Tamandua tetradactyla: one gene and its partners. The protein of the gene in region 3 purifies or fractionates together with the protein of the main gene of each other region. This does not show direct contact. Links are inferred from orthologs where the notes say so. Each region holds a gene or a part of one and is shown on either strand. Other genes may lie near its edges. The genes, in order: DMD, DTNB, TNS2 and CSK.

Evidence for each region.
Region 1: the proteins of TNS2 (region 3) and DMD purify together in Homo sapiens (affinity purification with mass spectrometry; 3 studies listed by BioGRID and IntAct, with this or other methods). This does not show direct contact. The link is inferred for Tamandua tetradactyla from reciprocal best matches to the Homo sapiens genes TNS2 and DMD.
Region 2: the proteins of TNS2 (region 3) and DTNB purify together in Homo sapiens (affinity purification with mass spectrometry; 3 studies listed by BioGRID and IntAct, with this or other methods). This does not show direct contact. The link is inferred for Tamandua tetradactyla from reciprocal best matches to the Homo sapiens genes TNS2 and DTNB.
Region 4: the proteins of TNS2 (region 3) and CSK purify together in Homo sapiens (affinity purification with mass spectrometry; 6 studies listed by BioGRID and IntAct, with this or other methods). This does not show direct contact. The link is inferred for Tamandua tetradactyla from reciprocal best matches to the Homo sapiens genes TNS2 and CSK.

Annotation. Positions count from the first base shown.
Region 1 is NC_135353.1:140,599,091-140,607,230, reverse strand, and holds the start of DMD (dystrophin), read right to left. Parts: upstream 3,004-8,140; 5' UTR 2,721-3,003; coding exon 2,690-2,720; intron 1-2,689. UniProt on the Homo sapiens protein: Anchors the extracellular matrix to the cytoskeleton via F-actin. Ligand for dystroglycan.
Region 2 is NC_135329.1:9,284,763-9,292,664, forward strand, and holds the start of DTNB (dystrobrevin beta), read right to left. Parts: upstream 3,251-7,902; 5' UTR 3,206-3,250; coding exon 3,162-3,205; intron 1-3,161.
Region 3 is NC_135333.1:114,411,725-114,418,887, reverse strand, and holds the start of TNS2 (tensin-2), read right to left. Parts: upstream 3,296-7,163; 5' UTR 3,253-3,295; coding exon 3,178-3,252; intron 1,405-3,177; exon of another isoform or gene 1,316-1,404; coding exon of another isoform or gene 1,310-1,315; intron 625-1,309; exon of another isoform or gene 327-624; coding exon of another isoform or gene 252-326; intron 1-251. UniProt on the Homo sapiens protein: Tyrosine-protein phosphatase which regulates cell motility, proliferation and muscle-response to insulin. Phosphatase activity is mediated by binding to phosphatidylinositol-3,4,5-triphosphate (PtdIns(3,4,5)P3) via the SH2 domain.
Region 4 is NC_135338.1:67,191,699-67,199,442, forward strand, and holds the start of CSK (tyrosine-protein kinase CSK), read right to left. Parts: upstream 3,246-7,744; 5' UTR 3,035-3,245; intron 1-3,034. UniProt on the Homo sapiens protein: Non-receptor tyrosine-protein kinase that plays an important role in the regulation of cell growth, differentiation, migration and immune response.

The DNA of each region.
Region 1 (8,140 bases), on a different chromosome or scaffold from region 3:
CCTAAAATGTGGATTTGCGCTTCATGATTTTTTGTTTTGTGGAATAGAGTACACACATTAGTTTTGTCAATTCCTTGAAATGTGATCTGCTTTGAAAACAGAAAACAAAATATGAGCAGAAAATAGCATATTTAAAGAAAGTTTAATTTCCAATTAACTTCAATTAATTTCTTAAAAAACTTGGTATGCTGTGACTTAAATGTGTATTGATATAAACATGCAGACTCAGGTCAACATACCACCTTTGTTGTATTTGCAATGCAAAAATAATTGCTTAATGAAAAATATGAGGAACCGTTTTTAATAAGGTAGGGAACTAATAAGGTAGAATGAGGAAAGGGAAGCAGTGTTTGGGAAATCAAGTTTTAAATTCTGAGATAAAGCCCTCATGACAGATAATAAAATAACATTCAAACAATCACCTGACTTTTCCAAGACAACAGAGATTTTAATCTATTTTATTAAATCACGCAAGTGGCTACGAACTTGACATTTTCTTTCACATGTAGTAACTGATTTGGACTACAAGGATTTCAAATGAATTCTTTAGGACTAAGAAGAATCTCTGTATTTCAGTACTTTCTAGATGGAATAGTGTCCAACTAGAAAACTTTATTTTTCTTAGATAAAATTATATATCCTTAAAATGCTGTGTAGTTTTCTTTTTAGTTTATAGTAACATCTGCATGGACTTTTTCCTTACATTCATCATAATGCTATGCTATGTGATCAAGACACCCAAAGCTGCTGCTTAAATTATGAAATATGTATTTAGATCAGCAGCCTCTTTTTCACAGATTTAAGGTGTCCTTTTAAAACTACACAGGTGAAATTTTAAGGTGATTTTATTAGAACCCAACATGTTTTACACCATTCTAAAAAATTTGAGTGAGGTGGATATCAGCTAGGAAATATGTGAATAATTTTTGGCAATGCATTTTTGCGTAATTCTAAAAGTAAACAATATTTGCGTTAGTTTGGCAATGTTCACTTTTAAAGGATAACTGTTCTGTTAAAACACTAGCCAAATAAGATGTTATTGTACTCTGCTGTCTTTTTGAAATTAAGGCAATATTCAAAACTGGAATCAAATGTCAATACATCCAGATAATAGTATATTTTCAACCATTAAAATTTAATGTATAATGTAACCCTGTGAATATCTCCACTTGCTCTTAAGACACCCACTGCCATGTAGCATAAGCATTATCTGATGGTTTGAAAACATGCTATATTAAAGTCATACACAAGGGCATATCCCAAAAGGAGTTAGCTTTCATCCAATTACAATTACAAAACTCATTTAAATATTTATGCAAAACCGAGAATAGTTTGCCTTTCTTTGTTCCAGAATTGCATCTTTGCTGTTCTCTAAAAGTTGGCCTACGCACTAGTGTATGAGTTTAGTTTTTGTAGGCAAAAATTATATATGTATATATAAAATCACCAGTCATTAATTCTGGTAGTATTAATAAAATAATGATTCTTGTAATATTTAGAAAATAACGATCCAAAAGAAATAATATCAAATGAGAAATGGGGGTGTGTGCAAAGAATATGTGCTACACATGTTTTTGTAAAGAAAGTAATGATACAAATGTTATACTATGAAATTGTGCAGCATCTAACATGGATCAATAAACGAACAAATGTATTCCCACCAGTTTTTCTCATAGGGAGAACTGCTCTTCTGACTCTTTCTCTAAAAGTTGTAAAGTTACTTACATTTAGTTTTCTATTCTTAATTATAGGCATTACCCTCAAATCTATTTCAGAATGACTCTAATCCACAGGTTACAGGAAAAAATGATAATCTCTAGCCATGTCTTTGGGACACACTGTCCTCATCACTTATTATTTTCACATAGTTTTTTTTACTATTGCATGACAGTCAAATTTCAGATTTTTCAGTAGTCATCATGACTCTTCCCAAAACAAATATAATAATTGCATTTTATATGAAAGCCAAATTTAAAAAGCTTTCCTGAAAAGGGAAGTCATCACAGAGACGAAACAGTGAACTGCCTTTAGTAACTTTACTGCAAAATTTGATTGCAAATCCGCTTGTCTTTTGATGTTTTCTCAACAAGAGAGTTTCTGGTCCTTTGCCAGCACAGATCCTATATCATCATTTGAAAGATTTCTCATGAAATGCTACAGAAATGAACATCTGAAATACTAAATGAAAGGTGAGACGGGAGCTTCTAGTTAAATCTTTATCAATACTTTGCTCAACCTCCCTTGTTTCTATTACAATTCACTTGAGTCTTTATTATCTCCCCATGATCTGCCTGATCAAATTTTTCTAACCTCGAGGCACCTGCCTCATTCCCATACAGACATGATTTCACTGAGCGCGCATGTCAGGAAACTACCCCACATGTATGTTTTACAAAATTCAGAAATATCACATAATCACGATAGCCAAGTCACACAAACTATTTCACAGCAATGAAAATGGTTCTCTTTGCGAAAGGCAAAAATACTAACTCCTACCTCATTTCTGTTGAAAAGTTTCCCTAATGAGATGTACATCTGCACACAGACAGGCCTACGATATATGCATCAGACAACATTTATGCTCATTCATACACTGTAATAAATTAAAAGTCAATCTGCCTCATCAGTACACTTGTCAAACTAAAACGTATACTGTGGCAAAAGACATTTTAAGTTACTCTGTACTTACAACAGTCCTCTACTTCTTCCCACCAAAGCATTTGGGGTAAAAAAAAAAAGTATATATCAAGGCAGCAATAAAAATCTTGGTAAAAATTTCTGCCAACTTTATTGCTCCAGCAGGCTGGGGAACGATGAGAAACCAATAAACTTCAGCAGCCTTAAAAAACAAATTACACTTCAGTTTTTCCTGTTCATTTCTCTCTGAAGGTAATTGCCTCCAAGATCTGAGTCCTGTAGGGGGAAAGTGAGTGATCCTGACACTGAGTGAGTCAACATAGCATCTGATGCCAGGATTCTGTAGAGGCCCCTGGATATTTGAAATTCCAGGACCTGCGCAGAAGCAAGGGACTTGCCTTTTCTCTCAAGTTGGTTTCCCATAATAGGACTGCTCACGGCCACTACATATAAGGTTGTGATTCCAGCATGGCAGGTCCTGTGAGTTCAAATAATGTTCAACTGTGTTCTGAAGAATATTCAAACCAGAATAGCTCAGTAGACCGAGTGCCTGCTGTCCAAGCCTTCAAAACACACAAAACACTCTACAGTGCAAAGCTGTAAACAATACTTTCTGTAACTTTTATGCAGATTTCTGCAAGGGAAGAGCATAACATCCCGATGGAGAATGGACTTTTAAACACCTTTTTTCTTTTTTTCCCTCACAACCATGCTACAAAAACAACGCTCAGCTGATGCAAAAGAAATGCCCAGAATAATCTATGCATTTGTTCTGTAGCCACCGTCTATGGAAGTTCATTTCTACCCTTGGGAACGAATAAAAAAATCATGCATTGATGATGCCAACCGTGTGCGTAAGAGAAGCAAAGGCAGAATGTAACAGCTGAGCTCTGAAGGCAGAATGTGTGTAGGTCTCACGGGACAAGTTTTCTGCTAAAATAAAGAGCACTCTTACAATGGAATGAAGAAATCTTCCTGAACTGGTAAATTTTCATTGTGGGCTGTGATAAAACTTATTTACTAACAAATTACTCTTTCCTCGATGCGTTCGGTGGCAATTATTAATGCATTATTCTCTTAGTGAGTTAATGATCAATTTTTAAAAGGTTTTTCAGCAGAGACTTCTTTCTGCATTAAATGAACAAGGGTAAAATGTGTCATTCAGTGGTATTGGGAATCATGCTTTGCCATAATAGGTTTCTTTCTCTTTATCATGGTTTTAATGCAACAGGTGACTCCAATATTTATAGGAACTGTTGATAACTCATTTTAGAAAGATATTCCTTTTCCAATTCTAAGAATCCCTACTAAAATTATTTGTTTTTTCATAATACAATTTTTAATGTGACAGACTCAGATTTCTATGCTGAACATTAAATTGGTTGGCTCGGAAATAAATTATAGACAAAACTGAAAAAAATTGACATTGAGTCAATCTACAAGGTTTATCTTAATAGTTAATTACACACCATATATTTTAGAATATCATCATAATTAGTACCATTTTCCCCAACAAGACCTAAATGAAATAAAACATAAGGCCTACTTCTTAATTTGCGATACTTAGATTTAAATTACGATTATCCAAAGATAGATTTAAAATTTTCCTATACATAGATTACCTCATCTCCCCTCAGTTTGGGTGCATGAAAATGCATACAAGCAAACATTTCCATTCATTCATAAAATAAACAAATCTTTTTGCACCAACATAGATCCAATTCTGCATGTTAGCATCAATATCTTTCTGCACTCTAGGGCACAATTTCACCTAAAGTATAAGTCCTTCTATACTTTGAACTGTGAGATTTCTAGACACATAAACCCAGACACATTCCCAGTCCAATATATAGTGCATCTGTGATTCTTAAAGTGCAGTCCATAAACCAGCAGCGTGAGCATTATCTGGGAGATTAGAAATACAAATACCCCTGAGACCTGGAAAATCACAAACTCCGGAGGGTAGCCCCCGGCACTTTGTGTTTTACAGGTGATTCTAAAGCATGCTCAAGTTTGAGAAGCCGTGAAGTATATGATTCTAAAAACAAACAACTAGGCCTCCGATCTTAGGTAAAATCCAAAGTGCCAAACACTGAATCTGAATGCTCTCAGCTAAATCTTAATTCTATTTCAGTATTAATCAATAATCAGTAATTTACTGGGTACCTAGAGTAAATTCTGCTATATGTGCAATAGGTACGCTTCCCTTGAAGTTTTAGAATCTAGTGTGAAGACATGCTTAAGGTAAGTGGAAAAATGGAAAGGTACATGAAAGAAAAATCAGCTCAAACAGTCAAAGAATTTTATGACCTTCAAATTATTTTCCTGTGGCCCTTAGTTGCGTATTTTCTTTTAGTCATCACAATATCTGTATCTGGAAGTTCTTAGGAGTCCAAATATAAATATGACCAGTCAAGGAACTTATGCATGTTCTCTTAGTTTATAACTGGCAGGTTTTGAAAAAATTATTGTAACTTTTTACTTTGAAATAATTATTCACAGGAAGTTGCAAAGACAGTGGATGACCTCTCATACATCCTTTATCAAATTTAATGCATAGGTTACATCTTATATGACTATGGACAAAACCAGGAAACCGACAGTAGTGCAATGTTTGTATATATCTGTCATTTTTTCACACAAAGTACAGAAATATTCCATTGCAAAGATATTTCTCATGTTACCCCTTTAGAGGCACACTGGCCACCCTTACCCCACCATCCCTAAAACCTGGCAAACACTAATCTCTTCTTTATAATTTTATCATTTCAAGAGGGTTGGGTAAATGGAATCATATAGTGTGTAATGTTTTGAGATTGGCTTTTTTTCACTCTGCATAATGTCCTTGAAATCCATTTAAGTTATTGCCTGCATCGACTTGCAGGCAACCAGTTTGTTGAACCATTCATTGCTGGAAGATATTCTGGTTGTTTCCAGTTTGGGGCTATTATAAATAAAGCCAGAAACCAATCATGTACAGATTTATTTGTCTTCATTTCTCTGGGATCAGTGTCCAGGTGTCCAACTGCCGAGTTATGTGAACGTGACTGCTTTTTTCTGAAACTGCAAAAATGTATATATTTCTTTTTAGTTTCTCTGGGATTAATGCCCAAGAGTGCAAGTACTGGGTTCTGTTGTAAGTATGTGTTTAGTTTCGTTAAGAAACTGTCAACGTCTTTCCTAGAGGTGCTGTGCCATTTATATATCTACTAGCAATGAATGAGTGCTTCAGTTTCTCCATATCGTCACCAGAATTTGGTGTGGTCAACTTTCTGTTTTCTTTCTTCTTTTAGTCTTAATTGAATAGGGATATCTCAGGTTGCTTTTAATTTGAATTCCCCTAGTGGTTAATGATGTTGAACATTTTTTTTTTTATGTGCTTGTTTACCATCCAGATATCCTCTTCTATAAAGCCTGTTTAAAGTCTTTTCTCAAAATTGGAAACTGGATTTTCTTTTTTTTCCCACCTCTGAGATTGGAGAGTTCTTTATATATGATAGGTGTGAGTCTTTTCTTTGATATGTGGCTTACAAACATTTTCTCGTAGTCTATAACTTGTATTTACATTCTTTTAACAGGGTCTTTTGCAAAGCAAAAGTCATCGATCTCGATAAATATTTTCTTTGATGAATGGTGCTTTTGGTGTCACATACAGAATTCTTCATCAAGTTTTAAATCGCAAAGATTTTCTCACGTGTTTTTCTAATATTTTACATTATATTGAAACTGAAATCTCTGATTCACCTTGAGTTCATCCGTATATAATGTATGAGGTTTAGATTCAGTTTCCTTTTCCTTTTTTTGTATCAAAGTCTAGCACCATTTGTTGAAAAGACTGTCCTTCGTCCACTGAATTACATTTATAATTTTTTCAAATATAAGCTAGGCATATTTATGTGTATCTATCTCTGAGATTGAGATTCTACACCATTGTTCTATGCGTCTATCCCTCTGCCAATAACACACAGTCTTAATTTCCATAGTTATACTACAAGGCTAAGCATTTTAATCATATTTTCTTCTTTTTAAAATATCTCTAGTAGTTATAGACTCTGTGTCTTCCTATACAAGTTTCGGAATAAGCTTATCCACAGATAGGTCTACAGATAGGTCTGCAACATATATTACTGGTGTTCTCATAAGAATTTCATCAAGTATATAGAATTAGCATCCTTACCCTGTTGAGAAGTTCAGTCTATGAAGACAGTATATCTCTGATTATACTACATTTTAAAAATTTCTTTCATCATGCTTTGCTTAACAGTAATTTTATTGTGATTAAACTATATTTTCACATTTCAAATACATATGTGATGGCCTTCTCTTTCTCATGTGTATGTTTGCACAAAGAACACAAAGCACAGCATAACGTACAGAAGTACAGTTTTGAAAAAGAAGCACATTAAAATAATTAAATGTATACAGTTAAGTAAATACCATATGCATATGATCTTGAAATCATTTTAAATGTTAAGGTTATAACTGTTAACAGAGAAATTGATAGAGACCTATACTTTGTCCAAAAACACAAAGTAAAATTTATATGACATTGAATGCATACATCAGTATATTTTTTAATGATTCTTTTTTTGGCCTCCAGTTTTATGGTACATGTTAGAAAATGAAAACTGGCCTTGTTTATATTCCAAAATTAATAATCCCTGTATTGTAAAACAGAAGTCAAATTACTAATAAAGAGCCTAGTACTCTAAAAGTAAAAGGGAACAAGATAGGAATGAATTCTTAAATAATTGAAAACCCTAAAGAAGTTTTTTTTGATAAATTGAGAAGGGGCTGAATCATTCGCCCCTTATTCAATTGTTTAACAATTTCAAACATTAAGCTTAATAATTTCAAACTTTAAGTTTAATACAGTTTCATAGGATAACAGGCTCGAAAGAAACATACCTCCTAAACTATTTATATAAAGTTCACAATTCTATTGATTTAGGGAAAAAATCATGTTTGGCCACTTCTGTCTCCCCTCCCAACGATCCATATTTATTGAAATATGAAATGATGCCTTCTATTAAAGGCTTATATTTCTTAGATTTTTTTTTCCTTTTTAATCTATCTTTAGTTACTGCCAGTGGGAAAAATATGCTAGTTTAGAGGCACTGAGACCAGAAAAATAAGACAGGATTCCAACAAAAATTTTGCTGATATTTTCATAAAATTACATTAATAATATGTAGATGCATTTTCAAGGAGACTTTACATCTTTCATATATTAAATCTTCCAGTCCAGGACTATGGTATACATTTCCATTTGTTTAAGTCTTTGATTTCATCAGTTTTGTAGTTTACAGCATACAGATGCCATATATATTTTCTTAGATTTATAATTAAATATTTCATTTTTTGAGTGAGTGTAAATTATAATGTACTTTAAATTTTGGTTTCCATTATTTAATTGCTTAAATATAGAGAGGCAATGGATTTTTGTGTGCTGTTCGTGACTCCTGAGACCTTGCTGAACTTACTTATTAGTTCTAGGCGTTCT
Region 2 (7,902 bases), on a different chromosome or scaffold from region 3:
TGTTAAAATGTACTTTCTAATTTATCACTTTTTTGTATATATATTTCACAATAAAAATTTTTTAAAAGAGCAAAACATTTCACACACAAATTTTGCAACTATTTTGCCTACTTAGGAGACTTTTTTGCTGTATTCAGGGTCTTGACTGTTCTGAATATGTTAAAATACTAAGTACAGATAAGAGACATTTAGTTTATCCAATTACCATTTATTAGGGACTCACTAATGGGAAGCATTGAAAGAGTAAAAAATTGATCTTTTCTTTTGGAGAACAGATGTGTAAATGATGTAGAATAAATATGTAAATATTGCTTGCTCTCTTTGCCCTATTGATTGAAGCCAAGGTAATTTCAGTATGTGGGCTAGGCTATTATAAACATTTGGGGAAGCAGAAACTTTAAGTGAAGTTGTATTAGCATCTCACCTTCTCTGTTCTGTATTTCATCAACTCCCAAATTCTCAGAAAACTTCTTTCAAACATATTTCATTCATTCTTCCCTCTCACCTCCAAAATTGTGTGTCAGCCTCTCTTACCTATTTGTCCTTTTCCTTCAGCATCTATAAATGCTCCTACTTTTCATGTCTTAGAGAAAAAGAAAGAAGCCTATCTGTACTCCAGATCCTGCCCCCACCTCGCCATATTTCCCTTCACAGTCAAATGTCTTGAAAGCAGTCTGCTCTTCCTTCTGTTTTCAGCAGCTTCTCATTCCTTAGCTGTGGTTATGCAGCCTCTGTCCCCACCACAGGGCTGCCCTGCTCTCAACTAATGGCCTAAATCCCAAAAGCCACTTTTGAGGCCCCATACTACTAGAGCACTCAGTGGCATTTCACCACACAGTGCTCCACTGTTTCTGAAACTCCCTTGGCCATCAGTACACAACTCCTCTCTTAAGCCCTCTCATGGCTCTCAGTCTCCACAGCACTGTCCTCACCCCTCAGCTCACCCCATACTTTATCACTGAGCCATTGCATTCACCCTCTGTCCTCACCCACCACAGGTATCAGCAACTCCCACACACATTATCTCCATGTCAGCCACTCACCTGGGTTCCCTATACAACAGTCTACCAGACTTCTCTACCTGAGAGGTCCTAGAGATACCTCAAGCTCTATATTTATAAAACTGTTTAGCACCACTGTCCACCCATTTGCCCAATTCAGAAGCCAGGGAGCCATCCTTGAGCTTGTCCTCACCCTCCCTACCATACCCAATCAGTCACTACATCTCGTTGATTCACCCTCGTGAATAACTCTAGAACCTTCAGCCCCTCTCACTTAGACTAATGCAACAGCATTCTAACCATTCTTTCTCCTTGTTCTAGTTTGCTAGCTGCTGTAATGCAACACACAAGAGACAGATTGGCTTTTGATAAAAGGGGATTTATTTCATTAGTTCTTCTGAGAAAAGGCAGCTAACTTTCAACTGAGGTTCTTTCTTATGTGGGAAGGTACAGGATGGTCTCTGCTGGCCTTCTCTCCAGGCCTCTGGGTTCCAACAATTTTCCCTGGGGTGATTCCTTTCTGTATCTCTAAAGGCCTGGGTTGAGTTGCGAGTGCTGAGATGAGGTATACTGAGGTGCTTGGGCTGTGCTATGTTGTGCTCTCTCATTTAAGCACCAGCCAATTAAATCAAACATCATTCATTGCAGCAGGCACGCCTCCTAGCCGACTACAGATGTAATCAGCAACAGATGAGGTTCACGTACCATTGGCTCATGTCCACAGCAACAGATCTATGTACCTTCACTTAGCCAAGTTGACAACTGAACCTGACTACCACACTCCTGTAGTCTTGCTCCTTCCGATCTCTCTTCCATACTGCAGGTCAGAGAAAATTTTCAAAATTTACAGTCCATGTAGATAGTTTGATTGAACGCCATAAGTACTTGGAATCTCAGGTAGGACATGAGATTTTGTTGGTTTGTCCAGAGTGATGCCCCGATGAATCCCAGAGTGATTCGATCAGTGAGTGTAAAAGTATTTGCAAAGCCCCCTTTGGGGAATGGTGAGAACAGGGAGAAATTCAACTTCCCCAAGTTGAATTCTTGATATTCTCACAAGCAGTGTGGACAACCAAAGCTATAGGCTAAGCCCCCAGTCTTGGGGTTTGTTCATATGAAACTTAACCCCACAAAGGATAGGTCAAGTCTACTTAAAATTTAGGCCTAAAAGTCACCCCCAAGAGAGCCTCTTTTGTTGCTCAGATGTGGCCTCTCTCTCCAGCCAACACGATGAGCAGTCTCACCACCCTCCCCCTGTCTACGTGGGACATGACTCCCAGGGGTGTGGACCTTCCAGGCAACGTGGGACAGAAATCCTAGAATGTGCTGAGACTTAGCATCAAGGGATTGAGAAAACCTTCTCGACCAAAAGGGGGAAGAGGGAAATGAGACAAAGTGTCGATGGCTGAGAGATTCCAAACAGAGTTGAGAGGTTATCCTGGAGGTTATTCTTATGCATCAAGTAGATATCATCTTGTTATTCAAGATGTAATGGAGAGGCTGGAGGGAACTGCCTGAAAATGTAGAGCTGTGTTCCAGTAGCCATGTTTCTTGAGGATGATTGAATAATGATGTAGCTGTCACAATGTGACTGTGTGATTGTGAAAACCTTGTGTCTGATGCTCCTTTTATCTACCTTGTCAACAACAGAGTAGAACATATGGAATAAAAATTAATAATGGGGGAACAAATGCTAAAATAAATTTAGTTTGAAATGCTAGTGATCAATGAAAGTGAGGGGTAAGGGGTATGGTAGGTATAATATTTTTTTTTTCCTTTCCTGTGTTCTTTTTATTTCTTTTTCTATTGTCTTTTTATTTCTTTTTCTGAATTAATGCAAATTTTCTAAGAAATGATAAATATGCAACTAAATGATGATATTGTGAATTACTGATTATATATGTTGATTTTTTGGTTTCTTAATTTTTTAATTAATAAATAATTTTTTAAAAATTTACAGTCCATAGTACATTATTTACAGTAATATAGTACATAGTCCTATATTGCCTCCACATTACATTCAGGATGAAATTACAAGTCCTCAGCACAGCATAGGAATTTTCCACTAATCTAGCCCTTGCCTACTTCTCCACACCCATCTCTGTTTGCTCCCTGTACACACATGCCATCCATTTCTGGAATGTTCCTACTTTCTCTTACCTCCATGCTTTCGTATTTGTTTGTCTCTCTGGTTGGAATGTCATTTCAACAGAAGCAAAGAATACCCAAGGTATGAGTAACCGAGGTTCCTGAAAAAGAAAAACAAAACAATGGAACAGCACTAATATTTAAAACTATAACCCAAGTAACTTTCTGAAAATAAAAGAAAACATAAACCTACATAATGAAAGAGTCCACAACGTACCTCGTAAAACTGCCACAAAGTGGTTAGCTCAGAAAGCTATCCTATTAGACAGAAGGATTAATAATAATCCTCAGGGTTTCCAGGCAAATGATTCAAATTGCTTTAAGCAATTTGAAAACTAGGGTAGAAAACTAGGCTGCAGCAAGATTAAAGATGGCTGCAAATTCTTTGCTGCTCCTTCAACCCAGGCTTGCTTTAGTGAAGTGCTTAAGCAATAGAATGTGGCATAAATGATGTTCTGAGACTGCCAAGGCAGGGTTATTAGAAGCCTTGAAGCATTTACCTGCTCTTTGGGAATACCTGCTCTTGGAGCCACAAGCCACTGTTAAGAAAATCTAACTGCCTGGGGAGTGGCCCTGGGACTGCATGGGAAGGGAGAAGGCCTTGCTGCGCCCAGCATTTGGGACACCCCCTCAGTGCACAAGGCACGTGAGGATGTCACTGTGAACCCTTAGACGGGCCCAGCTGTTAGCTGAATACTGCTGATGGAACAACCATCCAGCCAACCTCTTCCCAAATTCCTGACCCCCAAATTTTGAAATTAAAATAATATTGGTTCTTTTTTGAAGCTATTACTTTTTCAGATGAGTAGCTTGTTAAGGAGACTGGTAGTCAAACTCAATGGCATCAGACTTCTCGAGAGCAACACACAAAGCAAGGAGACAGTGGTACACCACTTTCAGTATTTTCTAGAAACTTAAGGAAAGAAGAGGCAAGCCAAGGATTTTAGAGAATCAGTGATTTTAAAAAAATCAACAACATGGCAGAATACAAAATTAACATACAAGAAAAAAAACACTGTAAAGGATGAACTATGAGGGAAACAAAGGTTAAAATATATTGAGTAGATGGAAACACTAGTGGTCAATGAGAGGGAGGGGTAAGGAGTACAGTATGTATGCGTTTTTTCTTTTTTGTTTTTATTCCTTTTTCTGGAGTGATGCAAATGTTCTAAAAAATGATCCTGGTGATGAATATACTACTATGTGATGCACAGAATGTTTGTATGTTAAGACTGTTCATGTTTGTATGTTGTTTTGGTTTGATAATACAAATTAAATTAATTTTTTTAAAAAAAAGCATTCCTACCAACTTTAAAGAACACCTAGGGCTTTAGCAGAGACCTACAAAATTTCCTGGAACTATGATTACTTTCCAGAAGCCTACAACATCCAGAAGGGTTCTTAAGCCAGATAAGTCCTGAAACACAGAGAGACCAGCCTCTCCAGAACATCAGCTAGTTTCATCTCTCTATCCCATATTATCAACAACCTTTTCCAACATGAAAACGTTAGAATGGACATAGCCAAAATACCCCTAAAGATTGGGAGAAAGATCAAAGTAGAAAGTGGAGTTATAAAACAGAAGATAGTATTTAACAAATGAGCACAACTGCTGAATCATTATATTGATATTTCTTTTAGTCTCCAGTATATTGGAGAAGGTAGAAAAAAACAAAATTTTGAAATTGTAACCCATACCAAACTCTGAAATCCATTCTATAACTAAATGCTGTGGTGTACTTTAAAATATGCCATTTTCATAATAGAAAAAATAAGATAACCCTAATTAAAGAAATATTTTAAAACTCTAGGAGGAAAAAAAAAGGATGAACTCTGAAAGGAGGCTAGCCTACCAAATATTGAAACATGCTGCAGAGCATCTTTAATGAAAACAATGTGGTTCTAGCACATGAATAGGCAGACCAGTGGAGCAAAATAAAAGTCCAGAAATCACATCAAGGATGTATGAAAATCAAGCATATGATAAACGGTCAACTAGCTGGGGCAAAGATAGACTGTCTAAGAAATGGTGATGGGATAACTAGACAGTATTCCACTCAAGGCGTACTCTCTTGGTTAGGTTATGGGGAAATGCATATTGCTGAAGGGAACGAACTATATAATACAATATCTATAGGAGTGCATTTGGCAATATCTAACAAAATAATATATATATTTACCTTTCAGCCTGGCACTTCCACTTCTAGGATTTTATTCTAAAGAATTCTCAAAAAAAAAAATAGGTATGTACTCATGCATATAAGACTCCTCATTGCAGCATTATTTTAGTGGTAAAATATTGGAAACTACCTAAATGCCCAAACATGGAAGTCTGATTAAATAAACCATGATACATCCAAACGATGGGTTACTAGGATGCAGTAAAAAAGAAAAAGCTTCGTGAACTAACTTTATAGCAGTTTCCAGGATATATTACTAAGTGATAAAAGCAAAGTGCAAATGCAAATATATAGTATTTTACCTCTCCTGTAATAAAGAAAAGAAATAAGAAAATAGAATGAATTTGCTTGTTTTACTAAAAAAAAATACAAGAACAATAAATCAGAAAAAAAAATGAAATTAGTTACCTACAAGGGATTGAGTGAGGGATGAGATGGGAGAGATATGATGGCAAGGACACTTCTCTGAGTTTATCTTTTGGTGTAGTGTAGACTGTGAAACGTTACATGCATTATTCAAAAAATAAACAAGGATAGGAAAAATTTAAAACCCATAACTGAATGCAAACAGAAACAAACAAACAAAATTGTATTTCAAAAGAATAACATAATAGCAATGAAGAAGGAAATAAACCAAGTAATTTTGAACATGGTACTCTGACATACCCTTAGTCTAATACCAGCAATAACCTGAACAATAACTGGAGCTCCTTTCCATGTGCGGTTTGGATGAATTTATAATTCATGAATCGTAAATTGTGCAAATAAACTCCCATAACTGATAGCCTAAGGTTTTTATTTTAACAGTTTTGGTGGGCTGTGAAGGAGAGCCCTGGCAGCTTCCGGAGGCCCTGAGAAGCCAGGTGGAAAGTACTCATTATGCCAAGGGGTCAAAGGAGGTTTTACTCTGCAGGTCCCCTGAAAGCACTTGCAATCAAACACAGGCCAGAGTGCTTCATGCTCAACAAAAAGAATTGTTTCGAGACCAATGGAAAATGCTGTGCCAGGTAGTCTGGAGCACAGGCTTCTGATGACATTAAGATCATATCACTGGACTGAGTAAAGATTCCAGAATTCTAATGAAGAAACCGATGGGATCATGAGATTGCTAACACAGACTGAGTGGAACGAGGATTCATCACCTAGGACTGATAAAGAATAGAGATAAGTTTTGTCTAGCTTACTGCTGATGTTTTAATGTTCTGTATACGTGAATGGATTTACATTCTTTCCGAGAAAGGATTTTCCAGAAGACAAAAACAATTAACCAGCGGGAGCAATCTGAGAAAATGGAACAATGGAGTGTACCCCACAGAACTGCAGATAAGCAGTGCCTGGTGATAAACCAGTATCAGTCCAGTAGAGATGGTTTATCAGGATGGACAAGCAGACCATAGTCATCAGTGCAGATCTGCTTCCCACCTTGGAGCCAACCAGAATATTTCCTTTGCTTACTTACAGAAGAAGCTTGTTTCTTCTATAAGCTTCCCCTTTCCACTCCCCCAGCAGAGCTCCTTTCCACATGCAATATGGATACTGTCCAATGCATGAATTATAAACTGCTAGAATAAACTCCAATAAATCATTTTTTTAAATGAAAAGAAAAATTTTTTTAACTGGGGAAAAAAAAGAATCAATACCAGGAAAAGAAGAAACAAACAAACCAATAAACATATTTTAAAATCTAAATTATCTTTTTTGCTAATATTTATTTGCAAATTAAGCAAGCAAAAATTTTTCAATTCTAATAGCCAGTGTTAAAATTCTTTTTTAAGAAATGTAAATGATACAAACTTTCTGGAGGGTGATTTGGAAATACATGTCAAACTCCTTAAAATATTGATGTTATTTGACCCAGGAATCTCAATTCTTGGAATTTATCTTATAAAAATATTCACTGGTTGATGGCTAATTTAATGTGTCATCTTGGGCAGGTTTTGGTGTCCAGTTGTTTAGTCAAGCAAACACTGACCTGATTGTTACTGTGAAGGTATACGTGAATGGATTTACATTATTAGTCCATTGACTGCACCTACAATCAACTGAGGAGATCGCCTTCAACAATGAAAGAAGTCTCATCCAATCAGTTGGAGGTCTTAAAGTGAGAACTAAGGATTTCAGAAATCAGAAAGAATTTCTGCCTCTTCTCCAGCCAGCAAGCTTCTCCTGGGGAATTCAACATCATTTTCACTGGAATTTCCAGCCCTACAAAATTTGGACTTGCTGATTCCCACAGCTGTGTGAGCCAATTCCTATAATAAATCTCATAAATCGTGTTCTCTCTCTCTCTCTTTCCTTTCTCATTCCTTCCTTCCCTCTCTCCCTCTCTCTCTCTTTCTCTTTCAGTTGGTTCAGTTTCTCTGAAGGACTCTAACATGATGATGTGTAATCGGATTTATGCATTAGGACATTTACCACAGTTACTTCCAAAATCCAAAACTGAAAAAAAAAAAAGTTTAATGATTAACTAAACTATGAAATATCCATAAGATAGAAACTTCCACAGCCATCAAAATCGTGCTATAAAAGAATGTCTCCCACGTCACAGAGAGTATTCAGGAAATTCTGCTAAG
Region 3 (7,163 bases):
GCTAGGGGAGGAAAGGTGTTAGAGAAGCCAAATCGGATGGCAGGATCTGCTCCAACCTAAACATCTGCTGCCATGCTGCAACCGCCCTCTGTCTGACCCGAAGGACAGAGCAGGGAGGTAATGCGGGGCAAGGAGGGAAGACTGAAGAAGCTGAAATCGGGAAGCAAGTCTTGCCTGAGTCCTGTCCCCCTCCCCCACGGACCGCACCTCCATCCCAGCCCCTCCTCTGCCCAGCGGGTGGGCACTCCTACCCTGCTGGTGGCCCGGCTGCTGTCCCTCCTCCCTAGGGCTCTGAGCAGCCTCTCCACGGGGCCGCTGGACTTCATGGTGTCCGGCTGGCCGGGTTGCTGGCCGCGGGACCTGAACAATGCTGGGGCCGGGCCCAGGGCTTCCTGGAAGCGGCCTGGCGGAGGCAGCCGCTTCCCCTGGGCGGAGGGTAGGCTGTCTGCCTGGTGCGAGAAGCCCGGCCCTGGAAGTGGCGGGGAGTGCAGACGGGAAGGGGGCAGGTCGCTGCTCCAGGAAGTGGAGGCGGGGGAAGAGGATGTGGGGGAGACCAGGAGATCAGATTCCCAGGATCTATCCTGCTGGGATGTCAGTGCAGGAACCTTTGGGCTCCAGCCTCATCAGCTGCCAGGCCCCTGTGGAGTGTTCCCGGGGTTCATCTTGCTCAGGGATCTACAGCCATGCCCGGTCCTGAGATCCGGCCCCCCATGAGGCGGGGTGGGGGTGGGGTGGGAATCGAGGTCTCAGGGCAGGTCTCAAGGGCCAGTGGGGAACACCGTGTCCAGGCAAGCGTCCCCGCCTGGACTCTCAGGCCCTCCTGGGACTTCCGGTGGGAGGAGGGTGGGACTGGGAACCATGCTGGCTCAGGGTCCGCAGAATGCTGACTGAGTGCATCCTGAGGGGCCCCGAGTGTGGCTCCTGGGAGTCAGGGCAGACGGGACCGAGGGCCAGCTCTCTGCCTCATGTCACTGGTTGTGAAGTAGGGAAAGGAAAACACGCACTGCTTCCCCACCCCGGCTGCCTCTCCACCCCTACCCATTCCAAGGCCAAGTCCCAGCAGGAAGGCTGCGCTGCCCACACGAGTGGTCCATCCTCCAGCCATGGCCCAAGGCATTGGAGGCCTTTCTCCTGAGAGCCCGTGAGAGCCGCAGCTGCTCCCCCCACTCACCCATTGTCTGGGTTGTTTCAGGCCCGACCTGACAGGTCCCTAGCCCCCCACTTTTCAAGTCCTGCAACTTCAGCCTTCCATCCCAGGCCCCCAGCACCGGGCCCTCGCCCCGCTGCCTCCCCAGAGCCTGAGTACTACCTCCATGGTTCTAGCTCTGCTCTCCTCCCTCAGCCGCCTGCGTCCTAGGGCCTGAGGACTGGACAGGAGGTCCCCCTCCCAACACACACTCCAACCCCTCTGTGGGCCTCCTGCCTCCCTCCTGGGAACATGGCCAATTTCCTGTCCTCAGAGTCAAGGGAAGGGGGTGGATGGGCCTTGGAAAGGAGGTAGTAATCTTCGGAAAACATCAGGGTTAATGACCTAAGGGTCCTCAGCCCCAAACCTTGAACCACAGCCCTGTCATTTGAAAGAATGTGCGAATGTGCCCTGCTCTATTTGCATGGCATTTACTGAATGTCCCAGCGGCTCAGGCAACTCCCCCAACTCCAGCTTCTCCCAGTGGGACCCTTCCACTTCCCTCCCCCTCCCTCATGTCCATGTGGTCTGGAGCACACCAAAGACACTTCTGTGGGACTGGATGGGCTGGGGCTAGCCTGACGCCTTTTCCTAAAAGATTCTCCAGGCCAGGAAGTCTGTCCCCAGGGTATCTTGGTCAGTGGGTGGCATCTGTGTGACAAGGCATGGGCCCCCAGCCTGTAACTAGAGAGGGGCTCTGGCTCTAATGCTCTCTCCCCCAGGAACCCTGGCTGGGTCCCAGGACATTCCAGGCCCCTGGCCAGTGTGGGCAACTGGGACTGGCCTGGTCTAGAACGCATCGCTGATTGGGGGAGGAGAGGCACTGTGGCCAGGGGCTTTTCCCTGTTCCTACTGCATATATGACTGACCAGGATCTCTTCTGTAAGCTTCTACTGCTACTGTTTCCAGAGGGGCTGAACAATCTCCTCACCTGGCAGAGCACTTCACGAGGGGACAGGTTCTCAAATGCCCTCTGACCCTAACTGGTCTCAGACTCTCCCCACACAGGCCCAGCAAGGAGCTGCCTGAGCAGTGTTTGCAGTGAGGGAGTGGGGCACTCACCAGCCCCTGAGGTGGGTGGCCTGGGCTGGGACTGACTTGGCTGTGAGTCCTCTGCACCCCCTGTGAAGCACCTCTCAGGGAAGATAGGGATCATGAAAAGTGCCTGAAAGGAAACGCAGCTCAGCGGGAGGGTGGGGGATGGGTGGGGGGGCATCATCAGCCGCCCTAGAGCTCTTGCCTTCCTTCTGCCTGGAACATTCCAGGGCCCTTGTTGGCTCCCGCCTGGCCCTCTCTCCCAAGCTCTGGGTTTGTTTGGAGAAACCCCCTCCACCCACACCATCCCACTTCCTGGAAATAACTGTGGTTGGATATGAGGCTGAGAGCCCAGGGCCCAGCCATGGAAGAAGGGTGAGGCCCAGGGAAGGAGAGATGGAGGCAAGGCCGAGTAAATGGGTGTATCCAGAGGGATCTGAGAACTGAGGGTAGAAGCAGACTGGCTGATGTGTGGAATGGGGCTGGAAAGTCCAATCAGTCTCATCTGTGCCTGCTCTCTGCCTTAGTTTCTCCAGATGTGAAGCAGAAAAGGAAAACACTCGCACACACTTCTCCCAGGCCAGGTCCTGAGTGCCGCTGCCAGCTCCTGCCCACCTGGGTTGGGAACTATGTGTGTCCAGGCAACTTGCTTCACCGTGCCTGTTCCCGGCAACGGCAACGTGTGCGCCCGGGACACGTGAAGCCGTGACGGTCGGAGTGTGACCTCCGGCCGGCCGGGACCCGCCCCCCTGGCCACCTTCCTGGCCTCTAACTTCCTGGCCTCTAACTGCCCTTGACCTCGGGCCCTAACCTCAGCCCAATGGCGCCCACCCCACTCCCCGCGCCCACTCGACCCCCGGCGACCCCGCGCCCCCTGGCGACCGCCCCTGGCACTACCCGGCCGGCCGTGACGCAGATGCCACCGCCCTCCCGCCCAGCGCGGCGCGGCCACTCACCTGCGGGGGGCGCCCGGGGGGGCGGGGGCGCGCCGGGGCGGGGCAGCAGCAGGGGGCGCCTCCGGGCCAGCCCATCCCGCCCCGGCCCGCGCCGAGCGGGACCAGGAGGAGGAGGAGGAGGAGGAGGAGGTGGAGGAGGTGGAGGAGGTGGAGGAGGAGGAGGAGGGAGCGGGCGCGCCGCGCTCGACTCGGCTCCCTCCCGCCTCCACCGCTCCCCGCGCCCGCGGCGGCTCCGTCCCTCCCTCCTGCGCCCCGGCTCCAATCCCCACGTTCCGCCCGCTCCCCGCCCCTCGTCCTCTCTCCTTTCTCTCTCTTCTCCCCACCTTCCACCGCGAACTCAGACTCAAAAAGAGATGGGCAGGAAGAGGAATACGGAGAGAGGCCGAGGCTGGGAAAGATGGAAAGAGACTAAGAGATGGGGAGCGAGATTTTGAGAAAGACGGGTACCGAGAACACAGCGACGGGGAACATCTCAGAGACCGGAGAGACCCAGAAATGGCGACAGGGAGTCCGGGAGAGACTGACCCGGCAGGACACAGGCAAAAGACACGCGCTCCAAAGAGATGCTGAAGAGAAGGTGGCTAGAAACAAGGACAGAAAAACTTGTCCTCCCCCAGGAGTGTTCTTGGGACTGGGTCTGACCCCAAAGCCCCAGGCAGAGCACATCTGCGGCCTGCTGTCTGGGGAGCTCAGATCAGGTGAAGACACCAGGTGTTTGTTTCCCAAGCCGCTGGACACCCTTTCCTGCTTCTCTGGCTCACAGGAAACTTACTGGTGCTACACCGCACCCCCAGGCAGCTCCAGCAGTCCCATCCACCACCTGTTTTAGCTTTGCACTATCATTCCCACTCCCTTGGAGACTTCTACTCAAGAGGGTCTTCTCACATTTAATACAAGCCCTGGGCTTCCCCAGTACAATTGGAAGTTATTACCATGGAGGAGGGATCTGGAGGGTAGGGATAAGGGAGGGAATGTCCTCCTAGAAGCTCTTGAGCCTATTGCCGGTACTAAATTCCAACAACGTTCTTTAGCAGTGAGCACTTCCGGAAACTTTCTCCCTCCTTCACCCTCCCCACTGGAGTTTCCGTGATGAAAACTGGGGTGGAAAGGCAGATTCTGAGAAGCCAGTGTCCAAGGCACAATGCCCAGTGCCTGTCCAAGGCAGTCAGCACTACTAGCTCTGAGGCCCTCTGTCCCTTCCCCCCGCATCTTTCAACTGTGTCCGAGGAGGTGGAGCACCTGATTCCAAGCTGGCATAGGGAAGAGACTGTGAAGACCCCAGAGGCTGGCATTTGGGAGGGGATGGATGTAGCTGAGACCTGAGGAGCTTTGATTTTACCACTTTTGGTTGCATTAGTGTCCAGTAGGCAGGTTCAGGGGTTAGATCAGTGGGGGTCACAGGGGAATGTGAGGGTAAGGAGCTGTGTGGGAAGGGAAGGCGCTGGGGGAAAGGGAGAGGCAGGAGTTAGGAGAAGACTGAAGAGAGCAAGAGATTGAAGATTACTGGGAAAAAGGTCAGAGCTGAAGGTCCTTTTGTGTCTTTTGGCAAGATTTGGTAATGTAATCCAGAGACAAGGTGTGGAAATGTCTTCATTTCTTTGGAGCCTACATTTGCCCCCCCCCCCCCTTTTTGTTAACATTTTGCCCCTTCCAGGGTTCACTAGGATCTTTGGCTGGGGACTGGGATGCATGCCAGGGGGGTAGGCTCTAATCTCTAAAGGTATATACCAAGGGAAATACTGGGACTCAGAAGAGAGAAGTGAGCAGGGCTAGGACCTCACAGTCATGCTGGTATTGCTGCCCAGCCTGGTGGGGCCATAAGAGGAACTTTTGAATTCCCAAGAAGTTGGGAGAGGGTTACAAGATGGGTAGCTGAACCCCTAGCTCAGACATGATTCCTCTTCTCAACATTGTGACTAAGGAGATGGGGGCTGGAGGAAGGAGGGTGAAGGAAGCTGATGAGCAAGGTTGGGAGTGATACAGCAGGTGGTTTAGTGGGGTTGAAATAAAAATGGGTGGTGCAGGGAGCCAGCCAGGTATCTCGATTACCAGCCCAGAGCAGTGGGAGCTTCAGAAGGGAAGAGGAAAGGGAGGAGAAAGCCAGGAGGCTGTTATTAAAAGGGTGAAACAATTTCAGGGGCCCCCCTCCCCCCTCCCCCCTGCAGGTTTTCTTACCTTGACTATGCAGAGGGCAGCCAATCTTGGCACTGAAGGCTGAACCTCCTCTTCCATGATCCGGGGTGATCTCATGCCTGTGACTGGGTGTGGTCAGATCTTTGGTGGGGAAGGGACTACTTTGAGGGGAGAGGGGACATTTAGGGTGTGGGGCTGCCCTGGCTGGAAGAGCACTGGGTCAGGGGAACTTCAGTGGAGGGGTTTGGGCACTGGGAACCAGGAAGAGCGGGGGAAGGGGCAGAGCTGACTCCAGAGGCGGATCTCCCGGCTGAGGACAGAGAGTGTATTGTCCAACCGGGAGGTGGCTGCAGCTGGGCGGGGAGCAGTACAGTTCGACCCTTCCAAACTCCTTCTTTTTAGGAGAGAGGGAGAGGGTGGGAAGGCAAGTCTTCCTTTCACTTGTGGCCCTGGGGGGCTATAGTAGTTGCTGAGGAACAAGGTTTATTTGACAAATTGTGCTTCTGAGGAGCAGATGTGCACAAGCTCTTCCACTTCCTGAGAAGTCAGGTGCTGTGACCTGGTGTGGTACTTGGGGTGACGCCCTTAACAATAACTGGAGCCCTCATTGCCATGGGACCCAGAACAGTACTTGGCTTTGCTTAGGAGAAATTTGACTAGGTGGACTGAAATACACATGGGGCCATCAAACCTAATGACCTTTTAAGTAGGTTGCTGCACCTGTATCCTCTCCCCCCCCCCCCCCCCTTTCTGGTTGCTCAGCATTTACATTAGTACAGAACAAATGGATGGTCCTAGCATCCATTTCTGCAGCTGGACTTATGGGAGGGCCTGCACATTGTTCTATGATTATGTGGGGCATACCAGAGCCAAGTATTTCCTTGAACTTAGGATCTCCTTTTGGGACATGCTACGGGAGTGCCTTCCTCCTTATCCTTTCAAATTAGCCTTTCCCATTGGAGTCCTCCTCCTTTCCACCATTTATCCAGAACTCAGTGTTACATAGGTAGGGAAATCGCTAGAATTGAAGGTTTGGAGAAAAGTGACTGCGTTAACCAAGTGCTCACTTTCCCTACAGTCTGTGCAGGAACATCTTTTTCTTCCTCCCTAAACCCACACTGAAAAGTCTTGCATCATCACAGCACACTGGCCCCTATTTTGTTAGCTTTGGAGAAGAGTGATCAATGCACAGAAAGAATCCTGGAAGAGCAATTGCTTCAATTGGTCCTGCTCAAGGTCTGCAACATTGTCCACTGATTTTTTCTGGTATACCTTCTATACTCCACCCCTTTGTGACCTTAGGGACTCTCTGCCACTGTGCTAATCCATTTCCTGTCTTGCAACAATCGTTTCCCACAGGACTGGTTAAGAAAAAGTGGCCTCAGTTGTGCTAGCCCAGACCATCCTGTCAATGGGAACTCAAGATATAACCCAGCAAGGTAGCAGCTTTGGACTACTTAAGGATAGAGATTTATGGAGGAACTGTTCTAAAGATGTGAAGATTTATTCCCAGACTCTGTATTGTTAAGTATAACAATAAAAAAGAAAATTCGGCAGCCTGGGTGTGGTGTATAAGGGACTCTGTACTATCTAAACAATTTTCCTGTACAATGTAAAAATATTCTAAATTTAAGCTTATTTAAAAAAAAAAAGGTGAGGAAAGGACACCAGGCAAAAAATGCCAAAGGGGCAGCTGGAAGGCAAATTCTGCCCTGGACCTCAATAAGTGTTGAGGAAGATTCCCTTGTAGTTCTATCCTTTGGTCTTACATGAAATGGTACCTAAACCTGAATGAGATGGTGGGATGGTGGGAGGACAGGACAGACAATCAATATTAAGTCCAATAAAAGCCC
Region 4 (7,744 bases), on a different chromosome or scaffold from region 3:
GGCTGCCCCTGGGGCTTAGAACGTCTGGGTTCCTTGCCCAGGTCTCAATTTCCCCAAGGGGCTGAGGGGACCTCTATTCCCACTGGGGAAATACTTGCCCTAGGAAGTAGCCTAGATGGGAGGCAGGAGGCAGCCAGGCTCTCAGAGAAGAGGCCTGTGTCCACTCAGCTCTAGTGCTGGGAGGCCGGAAGCGGGGGGTGGGTCAGGCCCCGGAAATCAAACAGCAGCCCATCTTCCCAGGGCAGGTCAATCACATGGTGATGAAGAAGGGGGAAGGCAGGAGGCGGGGCAAGGCACTGGTCATAGGAGCCCAGAACCTCAGTTCAGAGGACCTTGGGGCAGGGGCCATCCTCAGCCCTGCCCGGTAAGCAGTTAGCCAACTCGGTCCAGGGCTCAAACAGCTCAAACAGCTCAAATAGCTCCACCACACATCCAGAAAGCCTGCTGGAGGCATTCTCTCCACACCACCCCACTAATAAATGGGAAACAATGCATAAGCTCAGTAACAGGGCTTGGGTGAAGTTGCTCTGGCAGAGCTATTTGGAATATTCTGTAGCTTTTTAGGAGGAAAGTTACTTAGCCTGTGCAGAATGTGAGAAAATGCCTATGGCCCCAGTAGTAAATGAAAAAAGGCATCATGGCTTGTACATTCGAACGGCAACAGTAAGAAAAGAAATCAGGAAAAGCTGGCAGGAAACTCCAAAATGCTAATAATGACTGTGTCAGGTAAAGGAATAGTGGGTGATTTTTGTTTTCCTTTCTAGATTTTCTGTAGTGCTGTTTTGTTACTTTCAAAGTTAAGAAATTAGTACTCAGGTAGCAGCCGGCCTGCCCCCAGCTCAGATCCTGGCATCTGCAGACGACCCCAGCATTTTCCACTACAGGGCAACTGCTTGACTACAGGACACAGTAGTTTCTCAGACACACAAGGAGGAGAGCCAATAATCTCTCCTTACCTTCTCTTTCCCAGACCAAATACTCCTGTTCTTTGGGAACTGGGTCTCAATCCTCCAAAATACCTCAAAAGATGGAGCCCAGAACTAGACACACGCTGTCCTGCCCAACTAGGCCACATTCCCTAATAAACCACCCAGAGACTTTTTGGGGGCAGTCATGTCACACCTGTGCTCATTCGGTGTGTCCTCTCTCCAACCCTTGCCATGGGACACTCCCACTTGAGGCTCAAGCTCTCTAGGCCCAGAGTCCCCTGGGAACATCTTCTGGTCCTTTCATGCTTTCCATTTGATGTAGAGAGAAGAAAAGCCCCTTCAGAGGGGGAGGAAGGTACCAAGTTTCCCAAATGAAAACTGCACACACACTAGTACCTTCTACAATGGCCTTGGGACTCCACGCCTCATCCTCACAGCCCACGGTTCATAAAAAGCATCTAACCATGCCAGGTCCCATCCACAGGCTGGTGAGGAAGTTAGGGCTGGGGCCCAGGACAGCTGGGTCCCCTCTAATGTCCCTGATGGAGCAGCAGGGAGAGAACCCTAAACCAAGGGCAGGGGCCTCGAGTTAGACAAAACTGCCAGCAACCCCAACCAAGGAAGCCCAGGCACTGCTCAGCACCCTCCAGGGACCACCCCCTCCTAGGATAAAGATGAATCTGCCATACTTCCAACCTCACACTTGCTGCCTTTGCCCTGTTCCTACTGTGGACATGCTAAGACAGTGGGACACCCAGGGTGCGGAGTTTTGCAATAGGCCCTGTGGGTGTTCCCATTCTGACAATGGACCATGCAAAGGGTGTAGGGAGCTACCAGTGGTATCAGGGCTCCCATTTTCCTGATCCTGAGCCCATCCCTGTTCTGAACTTGGCTGTTTCCGTGCTGGGGGGCCGGGGAGGTGGGGAGGGCAGGAGGGCTGGAACACTACTGACCACCAAGTTGTTCCAGCTCAGAGTCAGGGTCCAGGACTCCAGCATCCTTGACACACCACACAGTTCGCACCTCACACCTACCACATCTCCTACCAGTGGGACCTAGCCTCAGCCACCAAGGGGAAATCCCACAGACAGTGCTGACGCTGAGTACAGACCAGAGGAGCTGGGGCCGGAAGCCCTCACCCTCCTCTCTAGTCCTCTGTAGAGGAGCACGTGCTCACCCCGCACCATCCCTCCTAGGCCACCTTAGTCCCTAGTGGGTGATGGTGCCTTCCAGACTCCCCTCCATCCATGGCAGCCCAGCTCTGCAGAGATGGGGTATGAAAGGATGGTATCCTAACTCTGCCAAAGGTCTGGGGGTAGTGACTTCCCCCTTTGGGCCTCGTTTCCTTGGTCTATAAAATGGGTGGGGAAGTAAACCCTTAGTTAAATTCCAAGGATACAGAGGCTGGACACGCCCATTCCTGACAGCTGGCCTGGGCCCTGGGAACCTGGGAGAATGGGCTGACCAAGCTGCATGGAGGTGAGGGCACAGTGCTAATGTCCAGTGTCGCCTGCACCCAGGATGGAGGCCCTGCCCAGTTTCCCTGCCCAAGGGTCAGAGGTCTCTCAGCTCAGGCCTGGTCTTCTGGGAGGCAGAGGGTCAAAGGCTCCAACCCAGGACCTGGGCCTATGATAAGGTTCAAGGGAAGTGGCTGGGCCCTGGGCTGCCAGAAGCTAGCAAGGCCTCGGTGGGGAGTGGGGAAGGGGTCAGACCCATGCAGGCCAGGACACCTGCAGGGAGGACCTGGCCATGGAAGAGCAAATTCCCATGGAGTCCAACATCAGGGTCCTGGCCCACCCTGGCACCAGGCTCCAGCCACCGCCCCCACCCCCATCCCCCCAGCTCCACAAGGGGGGGAACTCGGGTAGGCCTGGGCCAAGTCTGTGTGGCTCGCAGGGCAGTGGCTCTCCCCGCGTGCTCCCCTCCCGGTCCAGTTCTGACAGGGACTCCCGGGAGAATTTGAAGCTGGGAAGGAGGGGATAAGGGAGATGGGGGATGGGAGTGGACGCGACGGAGGCAGCCACGGAAGCGGGACGTGCGACCTCCACCGTCCTCCCTCGGTGGACACTCACACCCCGCCTCCTCCCGGGCCGCCGGGCACTCACCTCTCTCCCGGCGCTGCGGTCCGAACCAACTCGCCGCGGGCGGCATCAGCGGCCTGCGGGACAGTCCATGCGGCCGGGGGGAGGGGGGGCGCAGGGGTCCTCGGGGGTGCGTGCCAAGAGGTCCGGGGACGGAGAGAGGGGGGAGGCAGGGCGGCCAGACCGAGGCAGGGGGCAGGCTGCGCGGCCGGGTCGGGGAGGGAAGAAAGACGGGGGAAGGGGGGGTGGGAGGGAGTAGGGGGGAGGAAACAATGTAGCCGGCGCGGCCCCCGCAGAGTTTCGCTTCCGAACGCCGCTACCCAAGCTCGACTTCGGATGGTCGCGTCCGCTGCCAGGGGCCGCCCCTGACGCTCTATCGGGGGCCGCGGGGGCTCCCCGCGCTCCACGTCCCGGAGGCTCCGGCGGCCACAGGCTGCCTAGGGCGGGAGGGGCGGCTGGCCGGGGTACAGCCTCGACGGCGGTGGGGACAGGCGGTCTCCCCGCTCGGACCCCACCCCGGCAGGACCCCCCGGGACAGGGCACGGGGTGGGGCGGGAGCGGGAGGGCGGCGGCGGTCTCGGCGGCGGCGGCGGCGGCCAACCTCGGCTCGCCCGAGGCTCCGCTGGGAGGAAGCTCGCAGGCCTGGCGAGAGGAAGCGCGGCCCGGATCCTCCGCCCGCGGCAGCGCGCCTGCGCGAGGGGGCCTGCCCGGCGTGCGGCGGGGCGTGGGCCGGCGAGGCGACGCCCCCTGCCGGGCGCCGGCGGCACTGCGGGGGGGGTGTGTCCGCGCCCACGCCCTGCCCCCACCGGCCTGTCTGTGTTGGAGGCTCCTGAGGGTCCCCCTCAGAGGGTCGACCACCCCACCTTGAAACAAGCTCTGAGCGCTCTCTTGTCAGCTTTCCCAAAGTAGAAGCGATGGAGGCCGGGCCTCTCCTCCAGTCTGTAGGGGGTGGGCCTCACTGGCCGCAGTGAGCGTTCATTCATTCATTCACTCATTGCTCTCTAGGAGATCTCAGTCTGGTGGGAAGACTGACAGGTTAAAAGAAAATCGCAAAGAAATAATTGATAAAAGTAGAGAGGTGATGTACAAGGTCCACAGGAAGCAGAAAAGAAGGGAGGGTTGATGGGGAGACTTCACAGAGCTGGGACACCAGGCAAAGGGAACAGCATGGGGGAAGACAAGGGAGAGGTGAGAAAGGAGAAAACTTCTGGGAACTATAAAGAGCAAGCAGCTTGGGGTGTGGTGAGGTGAGAGTGGTAGGAGATGAGGTCCCTGCAAGCAGCATGGGCAAGAGCAATCACGAAGAGCCTTGTGGGACTTCCTTGGACTTTATTTCCAGCCTTATGGCAATGAGGAAGTTGTTAAAAGCTGTGTGACCTTGGGTCATTTACTTAACTTCTCTGTACTTCAGTGTTCACATTTGTTAAAATGGGGAGAATCATAGCACTAATATCTTAAGATTTTTAGGGAGGAAATGAGTTAATAAATTTAAAGTGCTTAGTGTGCAGTGGCTGGTACACGTTGAGTCCTTAATTAAGTATTGGCTGATATATATCTTTGCGGAAAGTGATCTGCTCTGAGCTACAGGACCACCAGACAGTGTGAGCTGGGGTTGGGGGTTGGGGCTGTGGTGGAGGAAACTGAATATACCAGTGTCAAAGGAAGGAGTTCAGAAGCATCAGGCTTGTGTGGGCAGAGAGGAGGGTGCCTTCCCTGGTGGGGAACGTGAGGCATGTTGGCAAAGTTTTGGAACCCAAAATAAATATGGAGGGGCCAAGGGAGTAAAAGGGACAGGGAAGGGCCCTGTGGGAGATAGTGCTGGGGAGACATGGTGGCTGCAGATTGCAAAGGGTCTTGAATACCAGGAGCAGGAGTTGAATGTCCCCCACCCCACCCCAGAGAAACCACAGGTTGTCCCTCTGACCCAATAAGCCCCTGGGTCAGCTTCCTAGCAAGGGGCCAGACCTTTGGGGGAGAGAAACAGCAGTAACATGCTTACCCTTTGGGGAGATATCCAGGAAGTCTAAAAAAATATCTGTGGTGTAATGGAAAAAAAGCATGAGTTTTAAGTTCAAATCTCAGGGTTAACTCTCAGCTTGTCCATTTACTAGCCGTGTTAGTTGCCTGAGGTCTCTGAGCTGTTTCCTCTTCTATAAAACCAGGCTCAGAATACACCTTTCTCAAGGGAAGTGGTGCAGATTCAGCAAGACAGGAGCCTGGGGGTGGGCGAGGGGTGCGTGGGGAGGGTGCTCAGCAGGGCTGATTTCCCTTTCTTTCCTCCGGAGATCTAGATGGAATGATAAGGTGGGGCCGGATGGAGGTGGGGTGGGGTGGCTGCCTCTCTGCCCTCAGCTGCTCAGCAGAGACTTCTGGAATGGAGGGGTTGACATCTCCTTCCCCTCCCCCTGCCTAATCTGTTGGCAGGATGGGAAAGAAGGGACTGTCAGGATTTGGAGAAAAATATTCCAATCCCTGAGGAGCTTCATCACCAACCTGTCTCCACCCCCTTCATCCCCCAAAACACTTGACCCTTTTCCTGCATGCGCCGATTGTGAACTTTGGAGTCAAATAGACCTGCATTTGAATCCTGCCTCCACCTCACAACAGGAGTCGATGGAAGATTTTTAACCTCTCTGCACCCCAGGGACTGGGGCTAAAACCCTGAACAGATCAGTCACAGGCTCCAGCCCATAGAGCTATCCTTTAGGGGGAGTGCCAGACAAGTCACCTCCAACCTCCTCATTCATTCATTCATTCAGCAAATCCTTAGTGAGTACCTACTAAGTGCTCGGTCCTGTTCTGGATGCTCAAGATGAAGGAATGACTACTACCACCCCGATTCTTGCCTAAGGGGGTAAATAAATAAACAGTAATTAGACAGTGGTATGAAGGAATTGAGCACGTGATGGGCTTGACAGGATGGAGAGATGGTTCTCCACTTTGAGACCCAGAGGAGAAGGTGGAGCCAGACCTTGGAGGAATGGGGGAAGATGTTCCAAGCCTAGGGCACCGGGAGGTTTTAGACCCAGGCTGAAAAGGGCTCTGCGGCCAGGGGACATCCAGAAGGCCAAAGTGGTGAGACCAGCAAGCAGGGGAGAGTGGCCTGAGAGGAAGCAGGGAAGGCCAGAATCAAGTGCCTGATCCTGTAGGGCATTATGGGCCTGGGATTTTATTACATGAGTTTGCATCGAATCTTGTAGAAGGATTTTAAGCCCGGGAGTGGCATGATCTGAAATGTGTTTTAGAAGGCCTCTCTGGTTGTTGGGGAGTAAGGGGGAGGGGCTTAAGAGTGAAGGGTGGAGAGAATGAAGAGGCCAGTTAGGACGTCCAATACCGCTGTTACCCTGGCCCAGGCCAGCGATGTTAGGCGCGGGCTCTGGTGGAAGTAGAGGGGAGACGAGAAGTGGCTGGAACAAAGGAGAGTCGACTGACAGCTCTATGCAAAGTTGGGTGGCTCTCCAGAAGTCCAGAGCTGAAGCATTTAATGGCTGGACTGGGTCTGAGTCCCTGGGGACGGGAAGGGCCCCTCCTTCCTCCACCCTGCTTCTTCCCCTCCCCCAGCCTCACTGCGCCAAGATGACAGTTTAGAGAAGCTGGTGTGAAATAGTTTGAAACTCAGACCTTCTGGGCGGTCCCCTGGGGCAGAAAACAGGAAGCCAAGATTAAAGGCAGATTTTCTGCAAAGTCCCTTTCTATTTCCTGCAGAGCAGGTGCTGGGGCTGAGCTGCTGAGCTCGCTGGGAAAGGGCGCTGGTCCATCTCTGCTCACTTTCAGTGGGGGTGGGACCCAGGGGAAACGGGACCCCTCGGAGGCCAGCCCTCCCGCTGGGGTAGCTGTTCTTAGGCCTTGTGATCACTGGCTTCACCAGGGAGCTCCTGCCTATTTCCTTGGAGAATCAAGCCCTCTCCAGAAGGAGATTGTGGAAGGTGGAAAAAGCTGTGCTGGGAACAAGTCCCCAGCTTTGGCATCACCCAGGCCTGGTGTGAATCCCATTTCCCTACTGCAGGTCTCACTGACCCTTGGGGTTGAGAGTGAGAGGTACAAGCAGTGGAAAGTGTGGCTTAAAGGGGAGAGTGACCAGGGAGAGCAGAGCAGAGCAGTGCTGGGCTGAGAACCCCTGTGGAGAGACAGAAACCAGAGAAACAATAGCCGCAGTGGCCTCTGTCATCTCAACATCGGGGGCCACAGGTTGAATGGCTGAGCTGACATCACAGGTGCTGAAGGCTTGGGAAAACAGGAGCCAGCAGGCCTCTCCCCAGACCTCTTCCCTGGAGCAGGCGGTCTCCAGTAGACTCATCAAGTTGAGAAGCTCAGTCCGAGTGCTCCAAGGGGATGTCCGAGTGTGTTGGTTGGAATCTATTATGTACCCCAGAAAAGCCATGTTCTTTTAATCCAATCTTGTGGGGGCAGACCTACTTGGGTGGGACCTTTTGATTAGGTTGTTTCCATGGAGATGTGACCTTGCCCATTCAAGATGTATTTTAAGCTGCTTACTGGAGTCCTTTAAGAAGGAGACATTTTGGAGAAAGCACAGACGCTTGGAGACAGAAACACACCAGGAAATGCTAAGCAAGGACCCACCTGAAGCTGAAAGAGCCAGAACCTGGAGAGAGCCCAGGGCACTCAGGGCAAAGCCACGGCCTCCCAGATAACTCCTCTCACTCTCCTTAAGGAGCCTGAACTCCCATCCTGAGAAAGCCCGTCCGAATCTAGGGAGTGTGACTCACTGACTCA